6 linked regions of the Coturnix japonica genome follow. The protein of the gene in region 1 interacts with the protein of each later gene in a biochemical or structural test. Links are inferred from orthologs where the notes say so. Each region holds a gene or a part of one and is shown in the gene's direction. Other genes may lie near its edges.

Region 1 (3,500 bases):
GTGATGCAAGATCTGCAATTAATTCAGAATGATGAAGTATTAAAAAAGCTCCCTTGTGCATTCAGTGTTACTCCTGCAGTTTGGTGTTCAGTAACATCGCATCCTTTGGATTTTTCTGCTGCCATTGTAGGAGCTTTTGCAGGTGTATTAATCAGCAGCTGCTGAGAGTTGAGCCCTATGCAGGGTCCATCCTCACACTGGTGTATGCTGACTTCTTTGGCCAGTCACTGGGAAGCCAATCCCTGTTTGGCACAGTGATGGAATGCAGGCTGGAGGGGATGCTCTATCCCCCTTTAATATCAGCTCTCTCTTCCCAGTGGAACTCCTGGTCCTTGCCACCCACCCTGCCATGTGGCCTTTCCCTTCCTTTGATTTTCTTGTCCCCATCTCCTGCCCCAGCAAAACCTGCTCTTTTTTCTCCTTCCACACTCTGAGGCTTTTTCTCTGCCTCAATTTAGCGGAGGGTTGTTGGAGTTAGGGTACTATGGTTAGGCTGTGGTTGGACTTGATGATCTTTTAGGTCTTTTCCAACCTGAGTGATTCTATGATTCCCTGCTTTTTCTGCTGTGTGTTCCTGCTGCCTTTCCTATGCTGCATTTGGAAGCTGCTGGATCCTGTGGGAACAGATGGAACTCGGTCACTCAGCAAAACCAGGAGAGCTTTGTGCTGAGCTGGCTGAGCGAGGGGCTGAGTGCCAGGCATGCTCAGGGAGGTGCCTGGGGTTATGGCTGCAGTGAGTGAAGGGCAAGATGAGGGGAAAAGAGGCAGCTTTCCACTTTTACCAACAGCAAGTAGGTCTGGAAGCTTTTGATGTTGTCTTTTTTTGTTGTTTTTCATCCCTCCTTTCTGCTCCCCCTGGTTGTTTTTTATCCAAGAGCACCTCTTAATGTCCTGTGAGTGTCTCTTCTTTTCTGTGACACTGTGGTCTTGAGGTGATCAGTCATCAGGATTCCTGATAGTCCTTGTGGGGGTCCAGCCCCACCTGCTGGTCCCACCCTCCTGGCTCCAGCTGTCTCAGGCAGCAGCCTCTGAGGAGCAGAGCTCCACACATTCACATTGAAAGCACCGTGCCTCATGCTGAGCAGTACAGTTGCACAGTAAAGGAGATGTCATGTTTGTTAGGTTGTATTTTACTTCTGAAAAGTATCCAGGGTCCTGCCTGGCCCAAGGGAGGTGCGCTGTGGGAGCTGCCCCAGCATGTTCTCCCTCTGGAGAGTGTGCTTTAATTAAGACAAGCTTTGAAAGATGGAAGATTTTGTTACTGCTTTCAGTGTAGCTTTAATTTCCCCTTTTTGGGTATGTGGTGTTGATTTTTAACTTCCTGTTTATTGAGGTATGCGTGTTAAGTGCCAAACTGGCAAATGTGTGTTGTCATGAGAACTTTAGTTCGAATCCATCCGGCCACGTGACTGTTTTTAGCTGACTTTCCAAAGGAAACAAAGCTTATGCAAATGTTCCATCTGCCTAAGAACCTTCTTCAAATGAATGTCTGAACTTACCAGCCCCTGGAGGCGGCTGTGATGGAGGGTTGGAACCTCCATTACATCAGGATGTTGTGACTGGTGAGGCAGTAGTGCTCCCCATGAGGACAGAGCTGAAGTTTGGATTCGACTGCCTTTTATTTTTGCTGGTTTGCCATTTGTCCAACCAAAGCGAGGGGGGATAGTGTTGGAAAAAAGGGATCAGAGAGTGTATAGGAGAAGCTGCAGTTATTATGAAGGACTGGAGTTGCAGTTATGGCTAAAAGATAGGAATCTGTTGGGAAACAGGCTTTATGGAATGTTGCATGTCAATGAACGTGAATATCAGGAAGCTGGTGTACTGGAACACTTTTAGATACACTTTGTGTGGGTCATTTGTCAGCCTGAGGTTTCTTACAGTCAAAGCAAACACAGCTTTGGACAGCATGTAAGTCTTGTCTTTCTCTTGAAGGTTTTCAAGCCATACCAGGCATCGCAGCATGACATGTGCAGATTCCACTCCGAGGACTACATAGACTTCCTGCAGAGAGTGAGTCCCAACAACATGCAGGGCTTCACCAAAAGCCTCAATGCCTTCAATGTGGGCGATGACTGGTGAGTGCTCTGTGCCTCCTGTGAACCTGGGGGTGGAAATGCTGCTGTGATCTTGCACTGTTTGTGTCTGGAGAACTATTGTAGTGTGTACTGGTTCTTATTTTTTAAGCAGAATGAGGTGCATGCCCTTCTTGAGCATAGCAGATTATTGCAACCTCCTCAATTCCTTCCCCTTCTCTTCATATCTTATCATCCTCCTTTTAGATCTGCATTTACATCCTAAACTGGTTATGTTAGAGACTGTGACTCCGCTTGTTCTTGCAGAACCTCCTGTTCTTCTTGAAAATATTATATATCTATTTTTTTAAACTGTTGCCTATTTTAGCTACCTTAATATGTGCATGTTAAGTGCAAGGTAGCTCTGAGAGCCTGATTTTCAGGTAGAACTGAGGAGAGTTTAATGCTTCTATATTCACATGAGAGCTTGTTACAAATATTCAGTTCCAGTCTTTCACATCTGTGAGAGGCAAACCTTGACAGAAGTGTGTAGAAGGGCTGTATGTGATCGAGGAAGTGCACAGTATGCCTTGTCTGAGGAAAGTAATGGCTGTCAGAGAATAAGACTGTTCTTTTCTATTCTTTGGAAGGGAAAGCTGTAAGTACTAATGTGAGAGGAGTGACATTAGATAAAGAACAGTGTTATCCCAGTAAGGTATTGGGATAGCCGGGTTTTTAATATTTAGACTGGGAATCAGAAGGCTGTTGTGCAACATTACTTTGATCAGAAACCACTTACAAGAATACAGGGGGGGAAATAAAAGTCTCTAAGCTATTATTTGTCCACGTATAATGTTTGTGATGTGATACTTGTGAGTTAGTGGCACATGGGCACCACATCTTCTGTTTCTATACCCTCTTAGAGATCCTGGTGCATTTATTGGCTCTGCATGGTGGGTTTGGTCCTGCCTCAGCTCTGCTGTAAGAGCTGCATTCACATCCACTTACTGTATATTGCATCCTGTGCTGTGAGTTGGGAAGGGGAATGGGCAGGGTCTTCTCAATGCTGATAAAGGAAGATAGCATGGGGCAGACCTGTCCTCCTTCCCAAGTCATATCCCAGCTCTGGACACACATCAGCAGGGCTGCAAGACAGATGCTGGTGTGTTGTGGCAGAGGAGAGCTCTCAGGACTGGCTTTGCTTGGGAGGCGTGTGGAGGAATAAGAAGATGTCCTTTGTTTGAATCATGACTTCTTTTTTTCTTTTTCAGCCCAGTGTTTCCAGGGCTCTTTGAGTTTTGCTCTCGCTACACTGGGGCCTCCTTGCAGGGAGCAACGCAGCTGAACAACAAGGTAACAGAGCTGATGGGCTTGTCTTTGAAACACTGGTAGGAAACAACTGGCTATCAGTTCAATGACATGAATGTGTTTAGTATAATAATGTAGCAAACTATGCTTTTTTGCAGTGTAAATTCTTTCCACTATATG
Region 2 (3,975 bases), on another chromosome or scaffold:
CATCAGTGTGGCCATCAGTTCCATCCCATTTGTGCACCAAGAGCTGCGTGCCCTTAAATCACAGAATCAATCACAGAATGACCCGGGTTGGAAGGGACCTCAAGGATCATGTAGCTCCAACCCCCTGCCTGGCAGGGCCATAAAACATACACATTTACTAGATCAGGTTGCCCAGGAGACCCCATAGATCCCCATAGAGACCCCATAGACCCCATAGACCCCATAGAGACCCCATAGACCCCATAGATTCCCATAGAGACCCCATAGACCCCATAGACCCCATAGAGACCCCATAGAGACCCCATAGATCAGGTTGCCCAGGGCCCCGTCCAACCTGGCCTTGAACACCTCCAAGGACGGGGCATCCACAACCTCCCTGTGCAGCCTGTTCCAGGGCCTAACCACTCTCCTAGTGAAGAACTTCCCCCTAACATCCAACCTAAATCTTCCCTCTTTTAACTTAAAACCATTTCCCCGTGTCCTGCCAAATCACTTGTTCCCATCCTCACAGGGTTCACCAGGCACCCCCTGTGTGAGGAATTCCTCACAGGCCCCACTGGAATCCATAATTGTGTGCTGTCATTTAACTAATGCTGATCAAAACATACAAATTCCAGAGCAATTCAAGGTAAAAACCTATAAACCTGCCTCTCACCTACCCAGCATTACTCCTTCAGCACAATGGGCTGCTGCCTTTAGGTTTAGTCTTTCAGTTCACCACCTTCCTTAACTGCAACAACACCGATCTCCTGTCAACAAGGTTAGGCAAACAGCTGCTGATAAAATGACTTCCAGGTTGCTCTTTCCAAGGCCATTTGCCATGGGGTCCTCGCTTCAGACGAACACCCTGTGTGTGTATGTGTGTGTGTGTATGTGTGTGTGTGTGTGAACTCCTTGGCAGCGACAGCTGCCAGATAGCACAACCTGATTGCAGCGTGGGGCCTTGGTGCCATGGTACAGCCCGGGTTAATGACTTTGTTTATACTGTTTGGGTAATTGTGATAAGGCTGCCCAACCCGCTGCCCCTGCTGGGGTTTCATTGAGAAAACGGCCATTGACGCCATGCTGAGATCCTGCTGGTTCCAGCCAATCAGTCTGGGGACAGCTGGGGTTGGTGGCTTTTTTTTTTTGTTGTTTTTTTTCTTCTTTAATGAGGACCGCTTAATCACGGAGCGGTCAAGGCTGGGAAGGGGTGTTCCACTTGTGACCGAGCCTTATAAGAGCTTGTTTGAACAGCCATGTGCTGGCAGAGCTGGGAGGACAGGTCACTCCCAGATTGAGACGGGGAGGAAACTTACAGGTCTCTCCCATCTGCGGAGTTTCACAGAGGATCCGGGGCTCCCAGTTCTGCTCTGATGACCAGCAGCATAGACATGGACTGCGAGAGGTGTCAGTGCCAGCATGAAGACAAACACCCAGCCATTCTCTACACCCTCCTCAGCCAGAACCTGAGCCACAGCCCACCTCACCAACGCTGCCTGTGCCACCAGCGCTGGACGGTCTGCCTCCGGACACCCCATATCACCTGCCAAGCTGCATCCGACGTGTTGGTGAAAACCATCAGCTTCATGAAAAACCTCCCTTCCTTCCACCTGCTGCCTCGAGGGGACCAGCTCCTGCTGCTGGACAGCTGCTGGGTCCCCCTCTTCCTCCTGGGGCTGGTCCAGGAGACGGTGACATTTGAGGTGATGGAGACCCCAGCCCCCAGCATGCTTGAGAAGATCCTCCTCGATGGCCAAAGCAAAAGGCAGGAGCCTGAGTGGACTCAGCCCATGCTGGCCGCTGTGCAGTGGCTGCAGTGCAGCCTCAACACCTTCTGGAGCCTGGACTTGAGCCCCAAAGAATACGCCTACCTGAAGGGAGCCATTCTCTTTAATCCTGGTGAGTGTTCAACCCTCCCAGCTCTGCCTGCTGGTGGCAAGAGAAAGCCCTGCATGAGTTAGCATTTAAAAACACTGCTCTTGGCTTGGAGTCGCTCAGAGTTTGGGCAAAAGTGTGTGTGAGAGCAGGGAGAGCTGCTCACATCATTAGCACCAGCAATGCAGTTTACCTCTGGGAAGCAGGGAGGAGGGATACTGAAAATGTAGTGTTTAAAAGCAGAGACCTCCTTACCTTGCAATCAAAGAACCCTGGGTCTTACTCTACAAAGCCCATGTTTGCTTCATTAGCTGTATTTACTCCCTCAAAGCAACAGCCCTGAAATACATGTTGTTAATGGCTCTGAGGTTTTTCTCCAAGATACGGGGAGAGAGATGGGAGAAACCTCGAGCTGTTTTCCAGCCTTCCTCTTCACATCCTTCCCTCCTTTCTCTTGGCAGATGTCCCAGGGCTGACAGCCTCCCTGTACATCGAGAGCCTCCAGCGGGAAGCCGAGCGAGCGCTTCAGGAAGTTGTGCAGATCCTACACCCCAAGGACCAGGACCGCTTTACCCTCATTTTACTCATCACCTCCACCTTGAAATCCATCCCTCCTGCCCTCATCACAGACCTCTTCTTCCGACCCATCATTGGCAACGCAGACATTGTCGAGCTCATCGTGGATATGCTGTATGAAATCACCAGCTGGCAGCCGGCTCCTTCACCACGCGTGGCTCTGTGAGCTGCTGTGCTCTGCCACAGCCCTGGGGGTGCTCAACAACACCTGGCAGGGCAGCAGGGAGGACTGTGGAGCAGGCAGTCAGGCACTCAGCTCCACAGGGCTTTGCGTGTGCCTCTCTCTAGGCTGTAGGGCTCAGAGCATAAAGGAAAGCAGCCTTGATTCAGCATGGCTGCTCCACCTCTGCCAGTCTGTTTTGAGGAATGTGAGTGTGTGTGGCTGGTGGTACTGAGTTTCTAGCAAGCAGGCCAGCCCTGTGACACAGAGCAGACTGAGTTAGAGCCTGCTCCAGGCTTTTTATATCTCAGTGAATCCTCAGTTCAATTAAAATCAATGTGTGTTTTGTTAACTCCATGAGATGAGGTTGGACCTCAACTTGCTGCCCGTGATGGCTCTGTGCTGATAGTGGTATTTAGGGGTGCTGAGTATCTTCGGTGGTATCACTTGTAGAGTACAACCAGGTGCAAGCCGTAAGGAATTAGATCTTTAAGTATCAGCCAGTGTCTGCTGTGCATGAAATCTCACAGACAGCCACCAAGAATCCTCCTCAGACAGCAGGAGGGAGAAGCATCAGATCTTACAGGGCGTGCAGCCAGCTTCATGAACGCCTCCTGCCTCTCATCACATCGCATCTCCTCCCCACGATGCCATGAGCTGCAACAGGATTGCTCACAGATTGGATTACCTAAGAGCAGTGAAACGTACGGCAAATAACGCTGCATGAACACCACTTCATCCTCCCTATACACCTCAATATATATATGGCAATACTTGGAATGGCTCAGGAACACACTGAGCTACAGACACTGAACAAACATCCCTGCCTTGAGTTCCAGCTGGTTCAACATAGTAGGAAAGCTCGCTTCTCCTGCCTGCAGCTTTTGTCACTGATGTCAGTATTTAATGAGCGGACCTTCATTTGATTTGTACATAAGATGCAGTAAATTATTTTTTTAATAAAAACGTGTCACATTTTGGTGATTTTTTGTTATATTTCTGGCATTTTGGACTTGTAGAAATAGCTGTTGGAGGTACAGTGTGGGAAGGACACCTGAATGCAGGGATGGAGCATCATAGGGAATCATAGGGGAGCATTGCAATGCAGCCCCATGAGCTGTGCTGGGCACACACTGCTCTGTGCACTGAAACCTGCAGAGGCAGCACAACTGCAGCCTGTCTGTGCTGCACCTTCCTTCACGCACACAGCCACACCTGGAGGTGCTGATGCAGGAGGTTGGTGCTGACTCACCTGGATGTGCACACACAGCCCTCAGCCCACAGGAGAACAGCCATACAAAGCCTCCTGGCTCCCCACCACCATAAACACACCGTGTTTGAACAGCAGCCTGCTGGGAGAACTGTGTGCTGCCCATCCGTGC
Region 3 (3,500 bases), on another chromosome or scaffold:
GTTTGCAGGATATTTATGAGATCAGTCATATGTAAAGATTATATCTTTAAATCCATGCTGAAATGTTCTGATTTTATATCCAAAACCGAATTCTTATAATTCTGAAGTGCTTATGAACATCATTGATTTGGGGTCATTATTGCCTGGCTGTTTTGTTGTACGAAGAAATTACATATTGTGTGTGTTGTGATCCAGAAATAGGCAAACAGATTTACAACATAGCTGAGGTTAATAGTTTTCAGTGGAAGGAAAGCAGTTAATAATGTACATGCAAACTTCTTTGTGTAAATTAAATCTCATTTATTTCAGTCAATTAGAAGCTAAAGCTGCTGTTAAAAGTTGCTTATTTGATGGATCTGAAGTCCAAATTGAGAAGCCAAAGTGACCAAATTATTTTAGTTCCATAATTTCTATTCTATTTTTAGATAAAAATGTCATTTTTATGAATCATAGAAAACTAAATATGAACACTTGTTATGAGTCAGTTTGTGAACTTTTTCATAGTTGAAGTTTAAGTCAATGATTTTTGGTTCATCTGACTGTCAGATATGCATCTGACTCAGATTAACATTTTATTACTCAGTCTAAATTTATTCAGTTTGCCAAAGATTTTCACAGGCTGAAGCTTTTTGTTTACAGCATAAACATACATGAGATTTAAAAGGCTATAAAATAACTTTCCTCGAGCCTTGCATTTAAGATTCTGATATTAACACTTTGCATCTCGGTCCTTTGGGCAGTAGACAATTAGGCCTCAACTTTGGCTCAAACACATTACAGAAATAAGTAGCATCTTTAAAAAGCCTGTTTCTTCTTTTGTTTTCAGAGATTACAATGGTTGACACAGAAATGCCGTTTTGGCCCGTTAATTTTGGAATTAGCCCAGTGGATCTGTCTACGATGGATGATCATATGCATTCCTTTGACATAAAGCCATTTACCACTGTTGACTTCTCAAGCATTTCTTCACCACACTATGAAGATATACCTCTTGGAAGAGCTGATCAAACGAGCATGGATTATAAGTATGATATCAAGCTCCAGGATTGCCAAAGTATGTTTTTTATTTTTCAGTGTTTCTTCGTGCTCACATTTGCTTTGTTCTCCAGAAATTGTACCACCAGCAAAAGAACTGGATGGATTCAAATGCCTAAATGCAGAGACTGTGAATCCAAAAATCAACAGAGATATCCACGTGATATCCTGATAGGACAGCCTTCACTCAAGTAGCCTCTAGTGATTAGACAAGGCGTCATATAGTAACACGCAGCATACATAGAAAATAATAATACACAGAGCTTTTGAATTCCATACAGGCTAAGAAACTGATGGAATAGAAATATTGGCTGCATCTATGTTGGTAAAACAGTGTTCCTTGAAGCTTTGTGACCTAGTATTATTTATATGGTACAAAAAACCATTGCCTTTCCCCAGTTATGTAAAGACAGTACACAGAATTCTCCTTCTAAGGAGGAAAAAGTAAAAAATAAAAAAATAGTAGTCTACTCTGAAATAAATTGCTATTGCATTCCTGCTCATAGTAAGAAGTCAGGTTGCTGTGCCTGGAACTTTTTTAAAGATCCTCTGAGTCTATTCAAATCTGACATCACTTTTGTAGGAATTTTTCATGAAGATTATACTATTTAGTTTTGTAGTAGAGTGAACCAGGTGCTGTGTGCTTCTGAGTTATTTATGAAGTGAATTAAAATACACTTTACTGCTAATAATTTATTTCTCTTTTGCTTGATTAGAAAATTCCATAATATTTTCATAACAAACTAAAGAGTTGATTAGCTAAATCATTAGGCATGCTAAATCCTCTTGGTCTTTTCTCAGCTAATTTTCTGCTTCCTTTTTTCCTGTAGTTTCTGTAGGAAAGAAAACTTCCCGGTTTATTTAGTGTAGCCAAACAGAAAACAAAACATTCACGTTATGGTAATACTGCATCTGCCATGTAATTCCTGAAGTATGATTTGATGTAATGTTATATATGGTGTCAATTGTCACAATTGCCTTCTTTGATCAGCAGTGATTGATTTAAATATGTCATACTTATAATATCGAATAAGCTCAAGCAACCACAGTGTGCTCTCAATACTTAGAAAATTTGGGAATATTCATCTCTAAACTGCATCCAAAGTTGAGCAGTCCTGGGAGAGAGTTAAATTTCATTAAATACACAAATTATTCACTGTAGGTTAATTAGATGCTTAGGTGTTTTTCATGGGATCAGTGTGTCCAGTTCAACTCTCTGCAGTAGTCTGAACACCTTAAAGTCACCTAATTAGATATTAATAAAAGGAATAAGACCTTTTAAGTAGGAGGTCTCTGTATGCAAATTTTACATGTCTGTATTAAAGTCATTCTGCACTACAGAGCTGGAAAGTGAATTTGTGACATGATTCCTATATGCCTCTTCAAGGTTTTCAGCCTACATACTACCAGTGAAATATCTGCATACAGCTTATACTCCCTAACATCCTTTGTTTGCTACCATCATTTTGTGTTACAAAGCATACCTATGAATCTGGCTATGTTTACTGTGATTGTTTCTGATTCTTCCTTCTACCATATTTTTACTCATACTTTGAATTACTCATTTAAATCTTCTCTATATGCAGGTGCAATCAAAATGGAGCCTCCTTCTCCACCCTATTTTTCTGAAAAAGTGCAGTTATACAATAAACCACATGAGGAGTCTTCCAACTCACTTATGGCTATTGAATGTCGTGTGTGTGGGGACAAGGCCTCTGGATTTCATTATGGAGTTCATGCATGTGAAGGCTGTAAGGTAAGTCATTGCAAATCTGTTTTCTCTGAATATTTGGTATTATTTTCATTTAAATAAGCTTTAAGTCTTTTAAATTGTTTCTTTATTAATCACTTATTATTGATTTCAGAAAGTACATTTAGACTGTCAAAAGACAGACCTGTGAATTTCCATAATGATGTCCGTCCTTACAGGACCTCATAAGATTTCTGTTTAATAATTACCAAGAGTTTGGTATCAAGTTTCTGAATTTTTTCATGTGCCAGTGTACTTTGCAAACTTGTAAAATCCTAACAACAGGAATAAACTAGAAAATAAAACATCAAAGATAGAACCCGGAAATATACATTGTGAAATTAGGTTAGCACAGTGCAAACAGAAAGAAATAGAGTGACTGCTTGTCCCATGAGCCCTAAAAGCCCTATTTCCGTTTCTTGGGCTCACAGTTTCTGTAGTACTGTTAATTTATGTTCATAGCATCCTTCCAACCCCATTCATTCCCATTAGTTTTTATAGATTTTTTATTTTTTATTTTTTAGACTTTTACCCGTATCAAGCTGGCAGAAAATGGCTTTAGAATGGGAGCATGCTGCTGTGCAGATATGATGACACAAGCATTGCTTTCTTCAGAAATCTGTCTAATACAAAGTTAGACTGTGTACATGCAGAACTGTGCTTTGCGTGTCTATACAGAATTGAGACAGTGACACTGGCAGTGCTTATTCTACCT
Region 4 (4,097 bases), on another chromosome or scaffold:
TGCACGGAGATGCTTAGAGAGCAGCATAAACAGCATCTGTGCTGCATTCAGAGCCCATTTGCAAGAAAACACTTTGGGAAAAGAAAATGCAGGGAAATGTTAAGTTGGTTTTGCTGGGTTAGGGGTTAACACTGCATGTGGAAGGGGTTATGATGTGGGGTCTCCTCCAGGCTGAATGCCCACAGCTTTGCTCTACAGGAGAGATGCTCCAGCCCTATGAGCATCCTTGTGGCTCCCTCTGGACCCACACCATGGCTTTGCCATTTTATTATTGGCAAAATTGGATGGATGGATGGATGGATGGATGGATGGATGGATGGATGGATGGATGGATGGATGGATGGATGCTCCCTCCTCAAGGATCAGGAAACAGCCAACTCCAAAGAGTGCTATGGGCTCATAACTCCAAAGAGTGCTATGGAATGTTTGTGTGGGCTCATAGGGAGGCTGGAGAAGCTCATAAGCATGAACTGCTGAGCATTCTGAAGCTGGCAAAGCTCATCATGGACAAGAACCTCCTGAAGGCAGCTGGGGTCTGGGTGAGCACCACAGGAAGGCATTGCATGTGCTTGACTGCAGACACACAGCTCTGAGGACGGAAGAGCAAAGAGGAATGCAGGTAGATTGTGTGGAGGAGGCAGTGGTCCCTTGGTCATATCCCTTGGTCATATCTCTTGGTGCTGGTCTATGTTGAACCCAAACTGGTCCTGTTCACTTGGGTCCTGTGTTGGATGAATACTAAGGGATCAGGCACTGTGCTGGGGAAGCCCTGAAGATGTGTAGTCCATTGATTTGTAATGACAGCATCTGTCCATTGGTTTGTAATGACAACGTCTGTCCATTGGTTTGTAATGACAACGTCTGTCCTGCTCCATGGAGCAGCAGGGCACAAAATGGCGGACACCCCCCTAAGGCAGAACACCCCTCCAAGGCCCACGCGTTGGGTTAGCACCCCCCCGCGCGGTGCACGCTGGGAGATGTAGTTCTCCGCCTCAGGCATTGAGCCGCGGCCGCACGGCGGGCGGACTACATATCCCAGCAGCCCCCGCGAAGAGCGCGCATGCGCAATGGTGCATCGATGAATACAAAGCTCCCTCGGTGAGGCGCTGTATTGAGCCCAGAGACCGCAAAGAGGGCGGCGGGTCTTTGGGCCCATCCCAGCACCGAGAGGCTGCGGGAAAAGGGGCCGCTTCCAACACTGTTCCGCTCAGCCCCCACAGCCTGGCCGCGATTGGATGAGGGAGGAGATGGGCGTGATTTGTATGCTAATAAATTAGGGGTGAGGCCTAGTGTGCTCCTGCGATAGGGCCGTGTTGGTGGGGGGGGGGGGGTGGTCCGACCGCTAATTGTAATTAACCTGCCTGGGCCTCGTGGTTGAGCCCCTTTGCATTGCGATCTCCGTGCTGTATCGCCGCCATATCGCCGACAGAACCACGCTGTCTGACTGCAGTGCAGTGATGGAGCTCCGTGCTGACAGCTTCATTGCTGCTCTGTGGGTAATGCTGCTCTATTTGTATGCCTGCCTTGTGAGCAGTGCCGCTGGATGTGGTTTTCATTGTGTCTAAGGCTTTGTGAGTATATATCAGCCTATTTGGGTCTGGAAATAGTGAGATTTGGGTTAAATATTGCTTTACTAGCAGACTAGAGGATGAAAGGAGTCAGAGATGCTCTTAAAGTAGCCAATGTTTGGGTTGTTTCATCTCTTTAAATGGTTTTCGGTAGTAGCAGAGGTAAAATGCATCTTCCTTAGCATCACAGGTGTGCCTGCATCCCAGCAGGGTTCCTGTGCTTTATTAGCTAAATCATATCAAGATTAATGTTTTCTAAATCAAACTTGGGGAAGAAAAATAGAGCTTTCTTCTGCTTTGAGCCAGTAATGGATCTTTAACAAGATTTGCTTGTGTTTAACAGCTGTGAGTTCTAATCTGTGCTGTTCTGATCCGGTTCTTTCTGTCCTTGGTCTGAAGGCTGATGTTTGGGTGGAATTAAACGTGTCTTGGCCTTGAAGGCAGAGCAGCCAAGGGGTGAGACTGGTAACAGCCAGGCAGCAGTCTGGCTTCTAGATAGAGCATTCATTGTAAATCCATGTTCCTTCTTCTTCCAGCTTGGTAAGGCAACAAGTGCTCAGTTAGAATGGTATTTGTTATAGAAATCCCCTGCTGGGCTGTTTTCCCTTGGGAGCAGCGGATCTTTGGCAATGTGCAAGGCTGAGTGCAGGCACGCTTGCAGCAGCTGTGTTTTGGGGTTCTTGGTTACGAGCCTTCCCATCTGCACAGTACGAGTGGTTTTAGTGTTTGTGCTGGGTTAGCTGCTTTGGAGCTGTGTGAGGCTGCTGAGGAATTTGGCTTGCACTCAGACAGCTCAACCCCTAATGAACTTGTGCTGAGAGTTACAGGGCACGTCACTCTAACACCGATGTCAGAACAGGTTTGTCGTTCTATTAATACAAGTCTTCTTCTGCTGTGCCTCTTCAGGCTATTGCAGATATGAACATACACAGAAAGAGAAGTCAGTGTAAATGCAGCTAATCAATTGATATGCATCTCTCTAGGTGTTTTGTCTAGACGTGGCACAGCATTTTAACTTTCAAGCAGCAGGAGGTATGGAAGAACAGAACAGTGAGCGATTTATACTGTTGCTGTACCTGCATATTTGTTCATATGAGGGTATTCTGGGTTTTTGAGCATGTGAATCTGTAGGTGGATATTCCTGCTCTGTTGCTTGTATCTGAACTGGCTTTATATTTGATTTTCCAGGAAGAGAATGGCCCAAGCTACAGTAGCAGCATCATCCGTGCGTGATGAAGACCCGTCTGAAAGCAGGATGGTTGTCACCTTCCTTGTCTCAGCTCTGGAGTCCATGGTTAGTGGCTGCAGTGCTATAGCAATACCTTACCTCCCTCTGGAGAGCTCTTGTGTCTGTACAGGAAGCCTTCCTGCTTCCAGCTCTGTTCTCCAAACAGAGCACTATTTGTGTTAAGTGTGCTGTGGAAGGATAAAACTCCTGTACTAATTCTAGCTAGGACAACACGATTATCTAATTGGAATCTAATTGAAGTGATAATTTCCGAAGGATAGACTGAATAAATCATTTTAATTAAAAGCAGTTCAATTCCTCAGTCTAGATGAGAGCTTAATTTCACTAATGCACCTACAGTGCTTTTAAGGTTTCTCATCAAAAGAATTCCAGATACATAAACTGTCCTTTGCTAATGACTGACATTATGTAACTCATGATATCTTTTGAGGAGTGGATGCTGGCAGCAGGAGTAGTAACTGCTTTAAGTGATTCCACATACATCTTATTACTGTATACGTTTAACAGGGATGATGAATGCTTTTCTCTTTGTCTTTTCATAGTGTAAAGAACTTGCCAAGTCCAAGGCAGAAGTTGCCTGCATTGCTGTCTATGAAACAGACGTTTTTGTGGTTGGAACTGAGAGGGGAAGAGCCTTTGTTGATTCCAGGAAAGATTTTCAGAAGGATTTTGTGAAATACTGTAAGTTTCAAGGTTGTTTAGTTTTGTATTTCACTCCAGCTGCTTCACGTATATTACAAAATACTTGTATCTCTTGAGAGCAGCGTCCTGTATATTGTGGCTGCATTCTGCAAGTAACACCTGCTATAGAATCATTGCTGCATTGCTTTTGTACTCCTTCACATCTGTGGGAGTGTTTTTTGTTTCTGTTAATTTGATATAGTGGAACTTGTGTGATTATGAAGCTTGATCTGTTGTGTACAGGGCAGTGTTTTGAGAGTGGGCTCTCATAGGTGCAGTGATTCTTTGGGTGTTTTACATGCGTGTACAGGAAAATGCTGTTGATGTTCAGTGCTTAGCCAGTAATGCAGTGCCCCTTTATCTGCCTGGGGGAAGGGAGAAGATGAAGGTCAAGAGCAGGATGTGAGAGGACAGCCAGTCTGGGGGAACTTTATAACAACAGCTGTGAGATGTTCTGGCTTGACTAATTACATACTGCGTGCAGTGCAACCGTGTTTAATCTGTAACTGGAAGATCTGCTTCTAAAAGTGCTTTTGCTGATAGCTAAAACTCTGAAGAATTCAGCTGTGGTTAAGCTCTGGATTTGCTCACTGTTGTGC
Region 5 (3,500 bases), on another chromosome or scaffold:
TATATCTTGCATTAGATTGCTTTCTGCTTCTGTATCCCATGGCTAGAAACACAAAATGGAAATGAATGTCTGGCAGTGAAATAGGGCAGGAAACATCATACCTGAAAATGCAGGCAATTTCCTGCCTTCCATGGGCATTCCTGCTATTTTCATTGCATGTATGATCCCACTCTTCAACTGTGATGATCTTCTGAAGCTTTAGGTGCAACAGGCCAAAGGTTGTGATAGTCATCTTAAGTTTTTGATGTTGGTGTTGATTAATGAGAACTCTTAATTATAGACTATAGTGACACTTTCTGGCAGCTACACAGTGTGCTTTTTCATTGACTTTGTGCAACTGGAAGTAACAGAGCTTAGATTTGCAACAGCACAAGGGTTTTTTGTTTCTTGCTTTCTCGTATTTGGTGACATCCCATGTTGAGGCAACTCTGACTTCACTTGGTAATTAAACTTCATTTCTGAAAGACCTTTTCCCCATTAATTTGATCCATTAAAGAAATGCTCTTTCAAGCTGGAGGTTAATCTTCCCATTTAAATTGCTGGGTTTTACCCAGATTAGTTACAGCTTAGTTTTCAACAACAGCTAAAAATAGTAAAGCGTTCTGCTGTACAGTTTAAATGTCTATCTATAGTGGTAGCCTTTCTCGTAAGGAAATATGTAGTAAGAGGGAGACCTGGGTCTGCTGCTGGGACATCACTGTTATGAACATTTGGGCTTTCCTTAAGTTTTGCCCATTGTAATGCTGGGCTTCCATAAGCCGTGCTTGATTCACTTGCTGTGGGTTTCATTTTTAAGAGCAGCACTGTGAGCTTGATTTGGGCAATATTCAAGCTAGTAATCAGACATTTAAGGGCCATGGAGAGTTCTGACTTCTCTATTGAAATCTATGCTGAGTGTCCTGAAACCAAACATCAAGAATCCAGCTGAAATGTTTTCAAGAACATGGAGCTTTCAGACAGAAAACAAATGCACGGTAAAGGACTATTTCCATCTCCTGCATTGCCCTTCATTACGTTTCCTTTTTACTTGTGAGCCTGACAAATGCTCAGACTTGAAATACACAGCATTATTGCTAAAGCACAGCTTTAGGTTAAAAGAGCTGTCTGCAGTTGAAAGGGAAGCCATAGTAAAGCTCTGGCATCCATGCCAATGGGAACCAATTACTTCGAATAATTCTGTAGTGGAACGAACCGTTTGCAAGTGAAGGGATCTTGAGTAGCTAACAAAGGAAAACGGGAGGTATAAAGGTGAAACTGTTTAAGGGCTGTGACCTGTATTACCTTTGTCAGAGGCAAAACCTGTGGTCATAGAAAAAGGCCAGAATTGTGAATGGTTTTTCACCTCCACCCTTAGTTTTCCACTGAGATAAAAGATACTGGAGGTCCGACTTCAGTAAGGAATGTTGAATCCATTCTGTTTTAAATAGCTGAATTATTCTTTCAGTACCATTAAAGCTCAAGCTTCTTGTAGTGACTTTCAGGATATACCTATATGTCCAGGGCCTTGGGATTCTTAGGCCAAGATATCCATTTCTTAGTCTTCAGGCTGTGACTGAATGCAGAGAGATCTGCAAGAGAAGAGAGATCACCAGTTACTTCATGCTGCACTTCTGAGGAACACAAACTGCGGTCATAGAAACTGATGGACTTAGTGCACGTCAGGGATTTTTTACTAAGCTAATCATCCGTTAGTTATCTGAAGGTCTCCATTTGTTTATATTTAACTGCTTCCATTGAATCTGGTTCCTTATTTCCCTGGTAATATCAGCATGTGAGTCTCTTTCTTTGGTCACTCTCGGTACCTCTCATAAGATGATGTGCTAATTAAAAAGTTGTATTATATTTGCACAGATCCACAGACATAGCAAGGATAATTTGAGTGGTCTACTGCAATTAGCGAAGTGTCATTCACAATCTGCAGTAGCAAATATAATACAATGTAACAAAGGTCTGTTTTCTGCCATCTTCCATTAGTAACATTTGATCTCTTCATGATGACGTTCAAAGGCACCTGCTTTGAATTACAACAGCTGTACTTATAGAGATACATTTGTTTTCAGTGCAAGTAAATGGAGAAAGGAGGGTCTACTGATCAGTACAACTGTGCTTGGTATCTCAAATACATGCAAAAAGAAGACTAGATGCCTTCAAAAGATATAGATAGATATAGATATATACACAATGCAAAAGCATAATGTATTACTTTCCATAGTCCATTTAAAAATAAAAGCACATTTAACTGCAGTGACCTGATTTCCACTGATGTGGGCACAGGGAGAAGGGACAATTATTGGCATTATTGAATGGCTGAGGATTATGGTTGTTTCTATGCCTGCTGTCATTTACTTGGTGTGTTTGAGGGAGGCAATGGAAGAGGATGTGCAGGGAAAAGTGGGAAAGGGACTTTTCCAAACACTTGAAAGGCAGGACTCCTCATGGTAAATTTGCTTATCTGACCTGTTTGGCAGGCTTTGTAAGGATGACAGCTTTAGCATGTGAGGGATGAGGTGGTATAAAGGGAAAAACTTGGAGAGTGTAAATGGTATTACTAGAGCATCACAGTGGATATAAAGTAAGCTGCAGCATTTTAGGGGGACGTTAGGGTTTAGTGGGGAAACAGGTTTTGAAGGCTAGAGAGGCAGAAGTCAGTGTTCAAGAGAAGGACTGAAAGAACTGTTCTGAAGGACTGACCTTTCATGGTTCTGAATCTAATTCTGGCAGAACTATATACTCTGAACTGCATTTAAATGTGTAAATTGAAGTTTGAACTTAACTGGTTAACTAGCTATGGGCCAGCTTAGTCCATTCAGCATTTAACTTGAGGTAATTTTGTAGCTTTTATATTAATCCTAAACTTTTTAAATACAGGATTAGTTCTGAACGCAGGAAAGAGAAGTCGAGAGATGCAGCCAGATGCCGAAGAAGCAAGGAATCAGAAGTGTTCTATGAACTGGCTCATGAACTGCCCCTGCCCCACACTGTCAGCGCCCACCTGGACAAGGCCTCCATAATGAGGCTGACCATCAGCTACCTGCGCATGAGGAAGCTGCTGGATGCTGGTAAGTGCAGAACTTGTCAGCAGAACCTGGCAAGGGGCTGGATGTGTGTTGAGGGTGACAATATTTCTGAATCAGACAGTGGTTTAAAAGAAATTAATAGCATTTTTGTCAGCTAGACTTTCCTTAAGGTAGAAAGCTTACTGGTGGATGCATGAAAGCAGTCTCACTCTGATGTTCTGAGATTCCTGATACCATTACTAGACCTTGAATTTAACTGAGAGCTTAGATAAGTAAATGATGCTTCTTCTGTACATTTCTGCAAGATTGGCTCCTTGCAGACTGGATTTCTGAAGATAAGAATGACTGATATTTACTGGAATAAAAATGTCTCTTGTAGGTGAGCTGGAGACAGAAGCCAAAATGGAGAAGGAACTGAACTGTTTCTACTTAAAAGCTCTTGATGGATTTGTTATGGTGCTTTCTGAGGATGGGGACATGATT
Region 6 (4,124 bases), on another chromosome or scaffold:
GCAAAGACATCTTTTTCAGAATATAGTTAACCACTTCAAGCTTTAAATACAGTCTCTAACACTAGTAGAAGTTTCTCTCACGAGTGCATAACAACCTGAATATACATACCTCAGTAATAAAACTTCTTAATCAGAGTGTGTGGATGTGGTCATTTAACACCATTAGGTTGGGGAGCACCATCATTCTGCTCTTACACTCCTCTTCCTCAGAAGGATGGGGAGGAGATGTGAAAAACTTTCATGTGTTAAGGTAAGGACAGGGATATCAGTCACCAGCTACTGTCAAAGCAAAGCAGACTGGAAGTGTGAGAACTGAAAGCCAACTGAAAACACTACCTTCCTTGCCCGCTCTCTTCTATTTCCCCACCCTGTGAGTGGCGCAGGGGAACTGGGAGTGGGGCTGCAGTCTGTAATGCTTCGTCCCTGCTGCTCCTCCATGGTTTCTCTCTGCCCCTCCTCCACATGGGGTCCCTCCATCCTTCTCAAACTGATGCCTCATGGCCTTCCCACAGGCTGCAGCTCTCCAAGCACTGCCCCAGCACAGCTCTGTACCACAGGGCCCACCCTTCAGGCACTGCTCCACATGGGTCCCCATCAGCAGCAGCTCCCCCAGCCTTCCTGCCCCACCACAGGCTTCACCCCACAGGTTGCAGCTTCAGATGCAGCTGCTCCTGCAGGGGCTCCCCATGTGCTGTGGCTCCTCCAGGCCTCATCCACTGCTGCACCATGGGCTCCTCCATGGCTGCACATGGAGATCTGCTTCGTATGGTACCTGTGGGCTGCAGGAGGATGCCCTGCTCCTCCATGGGCCTCTCCTGGGCTGCAGGCAGCTTTTGTTGAGCAAACCGGTTGTGGCTTTGGGGTCTGATAACCTTTCCTGTTAACATTCAGATCCATTTCTCTCTCCAGGAGGGAATGTTTCAAGAGAGATTTATCTCTCCTGTGTTTCTCAGGCCAAACGTTAGCAGGTGAATAGTACCTAAGCTGTGCTACAGAAGCGCAAATATACTAATGTGTACAAGGAAGAACCCGAGGAATGTAGCAAATGACCTCAAATTCTTTGCCAAGTGAAGGATTTTGTACTTGTTTTTAGTGATGTCATGTATATAGTTTTACATTGCTTCCTGTGCATGTACTTCAGCATGTGGACCAGAAGTCTGCCAGACCACTTTGTGGTCATATACGTGTCCTGGTTTGTTCTTGGGGCTGCCCGTTGCTTTATTTTCATCCTCTTTTTCTTGTTTCTTCACCAGGTTCATCCATAAAATTCCAAAATAAGTGTGTCTAAACTCCAAGGCTCACCTCACAGCAGTTTATAGAGCTGTGCGAATGCATGGGAGACTTCAGATGGCCTAAGTGGACATCATTCTGTGGCTGTGGAAAGGGGTGATCCTACAGTTCCAAGCCACCAGTGGTGCAGCAGTAGCATTTTTATGGTAATGTAATGAGTTAAGTCATTCATTGGGCTGAAAACTAACACAAACTAACATAAAGCTTTGCTTCTGGCTATGAGGTCACAGATATACCAGTGCTGGCATCAGGGGGTGCAGGCAGGAGCAGACCTCAAACTTGTGTTCAGCCTGTAGAAGGCCCTGGGGTGCTCTCATTGCAACCTTCCAGTAAATGGAAGCTTCTAAACAGGAGGGAGGCTAACTTTTGACATGCTCTGATAGCGATGGGAAAAGACTGAACAATTTTAAAGAGGAGAGATTTAGATTAGGTGTTAGGGGGAAAGTCTTTCCTCAGAGGGTGGTGAGGTGTTGGAACAGGTTGCCCAGAGAATTTGTGGGTGCCCCATCGCTGGAGGTATTAAGGACCGAGCAGGATTTAGCCCTGGGCAGCCTGAGCCAGTGGGGGACAGCACTGCCCATGGCAGAGGAGTTGGAGCTGGGTGGGCTTGAAAATGGTCCCTTCCTGCGAAGCTGTTCTGTAATTCCACTTAAGAAAACATCTGTTGGAATACAGTATCACAGCATCACAGTCTCACAGTCTTGTGCAGGTTGGAAGGGACCTTAGAGATCATCGAGTCCAACCCCCGGGATTTGAGCCCCTGTGTAGCAGAGCGGCACTTCTACCACTTGCGCCACAGGGGGGATTCAAACCGGGCATCAGCAGGCTTGAAAATCTTTCCTAGTGGTTGTTTTGCAGCTCACTGTATGTGTGAGTGCTTTAATAGAGCACTCCTGCAAAGATATTGGTACTGATTAGATTTTCTAAGGAGAGAATGCTTTTCAACGTAAGGTTTAGTCTTAGATGTTTTATGTATCTACCTGTCATCTTCTCAATTTAATGAATTAATGAATTAATTTAAGAGTTCATTGGGATAGTAGATAGTTCCTAGAAGTGCTAGCAAAGTTAAAGGGGGAAAATCGATTATACTTGTTATATGTACAGCTTTCCTACATATATAACTACTTCTATTAACACTTTGTCTGCAACGTAAAAGCTATATAATTCAAATATATTCTGTATTTGAAACAAATATTGTGTATAGATAAATCCTTTAATGTAAGAGTACTGTCTTGCCTTGTATAAGTGTTCCTAATACAACTTGTGTCAGAAAATGAAGTGTAGTGCTTCATAATTTGTGTCTGTTCCTTTCACAAACTGCCTAATGAATATCTGGACATAGATGCCCAGACAAACAATGCATACATCTGGATACTTAATGCTGCATTACAGCAGTAATGTATTAAATCCTAGAAAAACCTTCTCATGAAGATCTGGACTTCTTACCCTGCAACCGTAATACTGATGCTAAGTGTAGAATTGGCCTTCAGACACTCTTACTTGCACAAATGGATCCGTGTGTATTTAGAAGTTAAATTTTTTGCCCTTGATTTGCATCAACAAAATTGGCCAGGTTCTAGTTTTAAGGTGTTAATTATGTCCCTGCTAATGTCAGGGCCAATAATAACCTTCTGTTCTCAGGGAGTTCATTATTTTGTTGCTCTTTGTGAGAATAGTGAGGGAAAATGTGAGTTGAGTACAAAGATACAGAAGGTTGCAAATAGGAGATAATTTATTACTTTCACAGTATAATTAAGCTTCACATTTTTGCAGGGATGTCACCTGCAGACAATTATGAGTGTGATTTACGTCTATGGACCCTATTTTCCCGAAGGTGTTTTTTATTAGAAAGGCTGTAGATGTTAAGCATCTTCTTTCCTTTTTTTGTTTTTTGACAGGAAATTCTGGTGATTAACAGTCATGGCAACCATAGAGGAACTGGCCCATCAAATTATTGAGCAGCAAATGGGAGAGGTACAGAATTTTTTCATCATATTTAGGAGGCATTGAATAATAAAATGGACAGAGTAAGATGTAAAAATCCAGGTCCCAAGAGAAAGTAATTCTTAGTACACTCCAAGCTTCAGGAGACCCTCACATGGAAGATGAACTTATTGATTACCATCAAAGTTGTCATTATATAGATGTTACATTCCAGTTACAGAATTCATTCGTTGTCACTTTTGTTCTTATAAGTAAAGGCTTGCTGTGGTCTGCATTGTAAAATATTGGTTGACATTTGGTGTAAGTCAGAGGGAAACTGAACTCTTTCTGTTGGCTCCTGTTTTTCATTTCCTTTAACCTATATACAAAGTGTGCATACTGCAGCTAAAGAACTTCCAGAGATGCACAAGCAGTTTGGAAGTGTGAATCAGTGTATACATACTTAACTAGAACATTCGATCATTAGCAGCGCTTTAAATTAGATAAAAGCAGAAAACAACATTTATTAGCTTGAAATATCCACTCTTGGTTCCCTGTCTAGTACTGTGGATAGGATAAGATTGCACGTAATTTTAGTTCCTCTCGGTCTTGATTTCAAATGTAACAGCTGGGGACATGCAGGATGGTAAATCTGTTCTGTATAAATTCTTACGCTTTTCAGTATTGTAGCATCTGAGAACTACTAAGGTAGTTGTAATTTTTTTTCTTTCTCTCCCTTTTCCTCTTTACAGGGGGGAATGGTGTGTGTAGCGTAGCTTTGTTTGGTAGGATAAGTCCTTGGGGAAGCCTAGGTGGGGCTGTAATTCCTGTTTCTTGTGTTTTGGAAACTGGGGATTAGTCGAAGCTGGCTGAAGCATGTGTTCCAGTTGCAGAGGAGGATGGCAAGTTTA

Evidence for each region.
Region 2: the proteins of HDAC3 (region 1) and NR0B2 form a complex in vitro, tested with the Homo sapiens proteins (2 studies listed by BioGRID). The link is inferred for Coturnix japonica from reciprocal best matches to the Homo sapiens genes HDAC3 and NR0B2.
Region 3: the proteins of HDAC3 (region 1) and PPARG form a complex in vitro, tested with the Homo sapiens proteins (3 studies listed by BioGRID, with this or other methods). The link is inferred for Coturnix japonica from reciprocal best matches to the Homo sapiens genes HDAC3 and PPARG.
Region 4: the proteins of HDAC3 (region 1) and GTF2I form a complex in vitro, tested with the Homo sapiens proteins (2 studies listed by BioGRID). The link is inferred for Coturnix japonica from reciprocal best matches to the Homo sapiens genes HDAC3 and GTF2I.
Region 5: the proteins of HDAC3 (region 1) and HIF1A form a complex in vitro, tested with the Homo sapiens proteins (2 studies listed by BioGRID). The link is inferred for Coturnix japonica from reciprocal best matches to the Homo sapiens genes HDAC3 and HIF1A.
Region 6: the proteins of HDAC3 (region 1) and NR2C1 form a complex in vitro, tested with the Homo sapiens proteins (4 studies listed by BioGRID). The link is inferred for Coturnix japonica from reciprocal best matches to the Homo sapiens genes HDAC3 and NR2C1.

What each region holds. Positions count from the first base shown.
Region 1 is NC_029528.1:14,737,486-14,740,985, forward strand, and holds part of HDAC3 (histone deacetylase 3), read left to right. Parts: intron 1-1,542; exon of another isoform or gene 1,543-1,562; intron 1,563-1,932; coding exon 1,933-2,075; intron 2,076-3,283; coding exon 3,284-3,365; intron 3,366-3,500. UniProt on the Homo sapiens protein: Histone deacetylase that catalyzes the deacetylation of lysine residues on the N-terminal part of the core histones (H2A, H2B, H3 and H4), and some other non-histone substrates.
Region 2 is NC_029538.1:1,621,961-1,625,935, reverse strand, and holds NR0B2 (nuclear receptor subfamily 0 group B member 2), read left to right. Parts: upstream 1-1,175; 5' UTR 1,176-1,355; coding exon 1,356-1,881; intron 1,882-2,318; coding exon 2,319-2,599; 3' UTR 2,600-3,577; downstream 3,578-3,975. UniProt on the Homo sapiens protein: Transcriptional regulator that acts as a negative regulator of receptor-dependent signaling pathways. Specifically inhibits transactivation of the nuclear receptor with which it interacts.
Region 3 is NC_029527.1:3,245,558-3,249,057, forward strand, and holds part of PPARG (peroxisome proliferator-activated receptor gamma), read left to right. Parts: intron 1-826; 5' UTR 827-834; coding exon 835-1,054; intron 1,055-2,621; coding exon 2,622-2,791; intron 2,792-3,500. UniProt on the Homo sapiens protein: Nuclear receptor that binds peroxisome proliferators such as hypolipidemic drugs and fatty acids.
Region 4 is NC_029534.1:1,909,154-1,913,250, reverse strand, and holds the start of GTF2I (general transcription factor II-I), read left to right. Parts: upstream 1-1,297; 5' UTR 1,298-1,457; coding exon 1,458-1,492; exon of another isoform or gene 1,493-1,571; intron 1,572-1,619; exon of another isoform or gene 1,620-2,600; intron 2,601-2,756; coding exon 2,757-2,862; intron 2,863-3,359; coding exon 3,360-3,498; intron 3,499-4,097. UniProt on the Homo sapiens protein: Interacts with the basal transcription machinery by coordinating the formation of a multiprotein complex at the C-FOS promoter, and linking specific signal responsive activator complexes.
Region 5 is NC_029520.1:49,081,680-49,085,179, reverse strand, and holds part of HIF1A (hypoxia-inducible factor 1-alpha), read left to right. Parts: exon of another isoform or gene 1-2,868; coding exon 2,869-3,059; exon of another isoform or gene 3,060-3,396; coding exon 3,397-3,500.
Region 6 is NC_029516.1:41,307,213-41,311,336, reverse strand, and holds the start of NR2C1 (nuclear receptor subfamily 2 group C member 1), read left to right. Parts: upstream 1-1,324; 5' UTR 1,325-1,436; intron 1,437-3,188; 5' UTR 3,189-3,210; coding exon 3,211-3,264; intron 3,265-4,124. UniProt on the Homo sapiens protein: Orphan nuclear receptor. Binds the IR7 element in the promoter of its own gene in an autoregulatory negative feedback mechanism. Primarily repressor of a broad range of genes.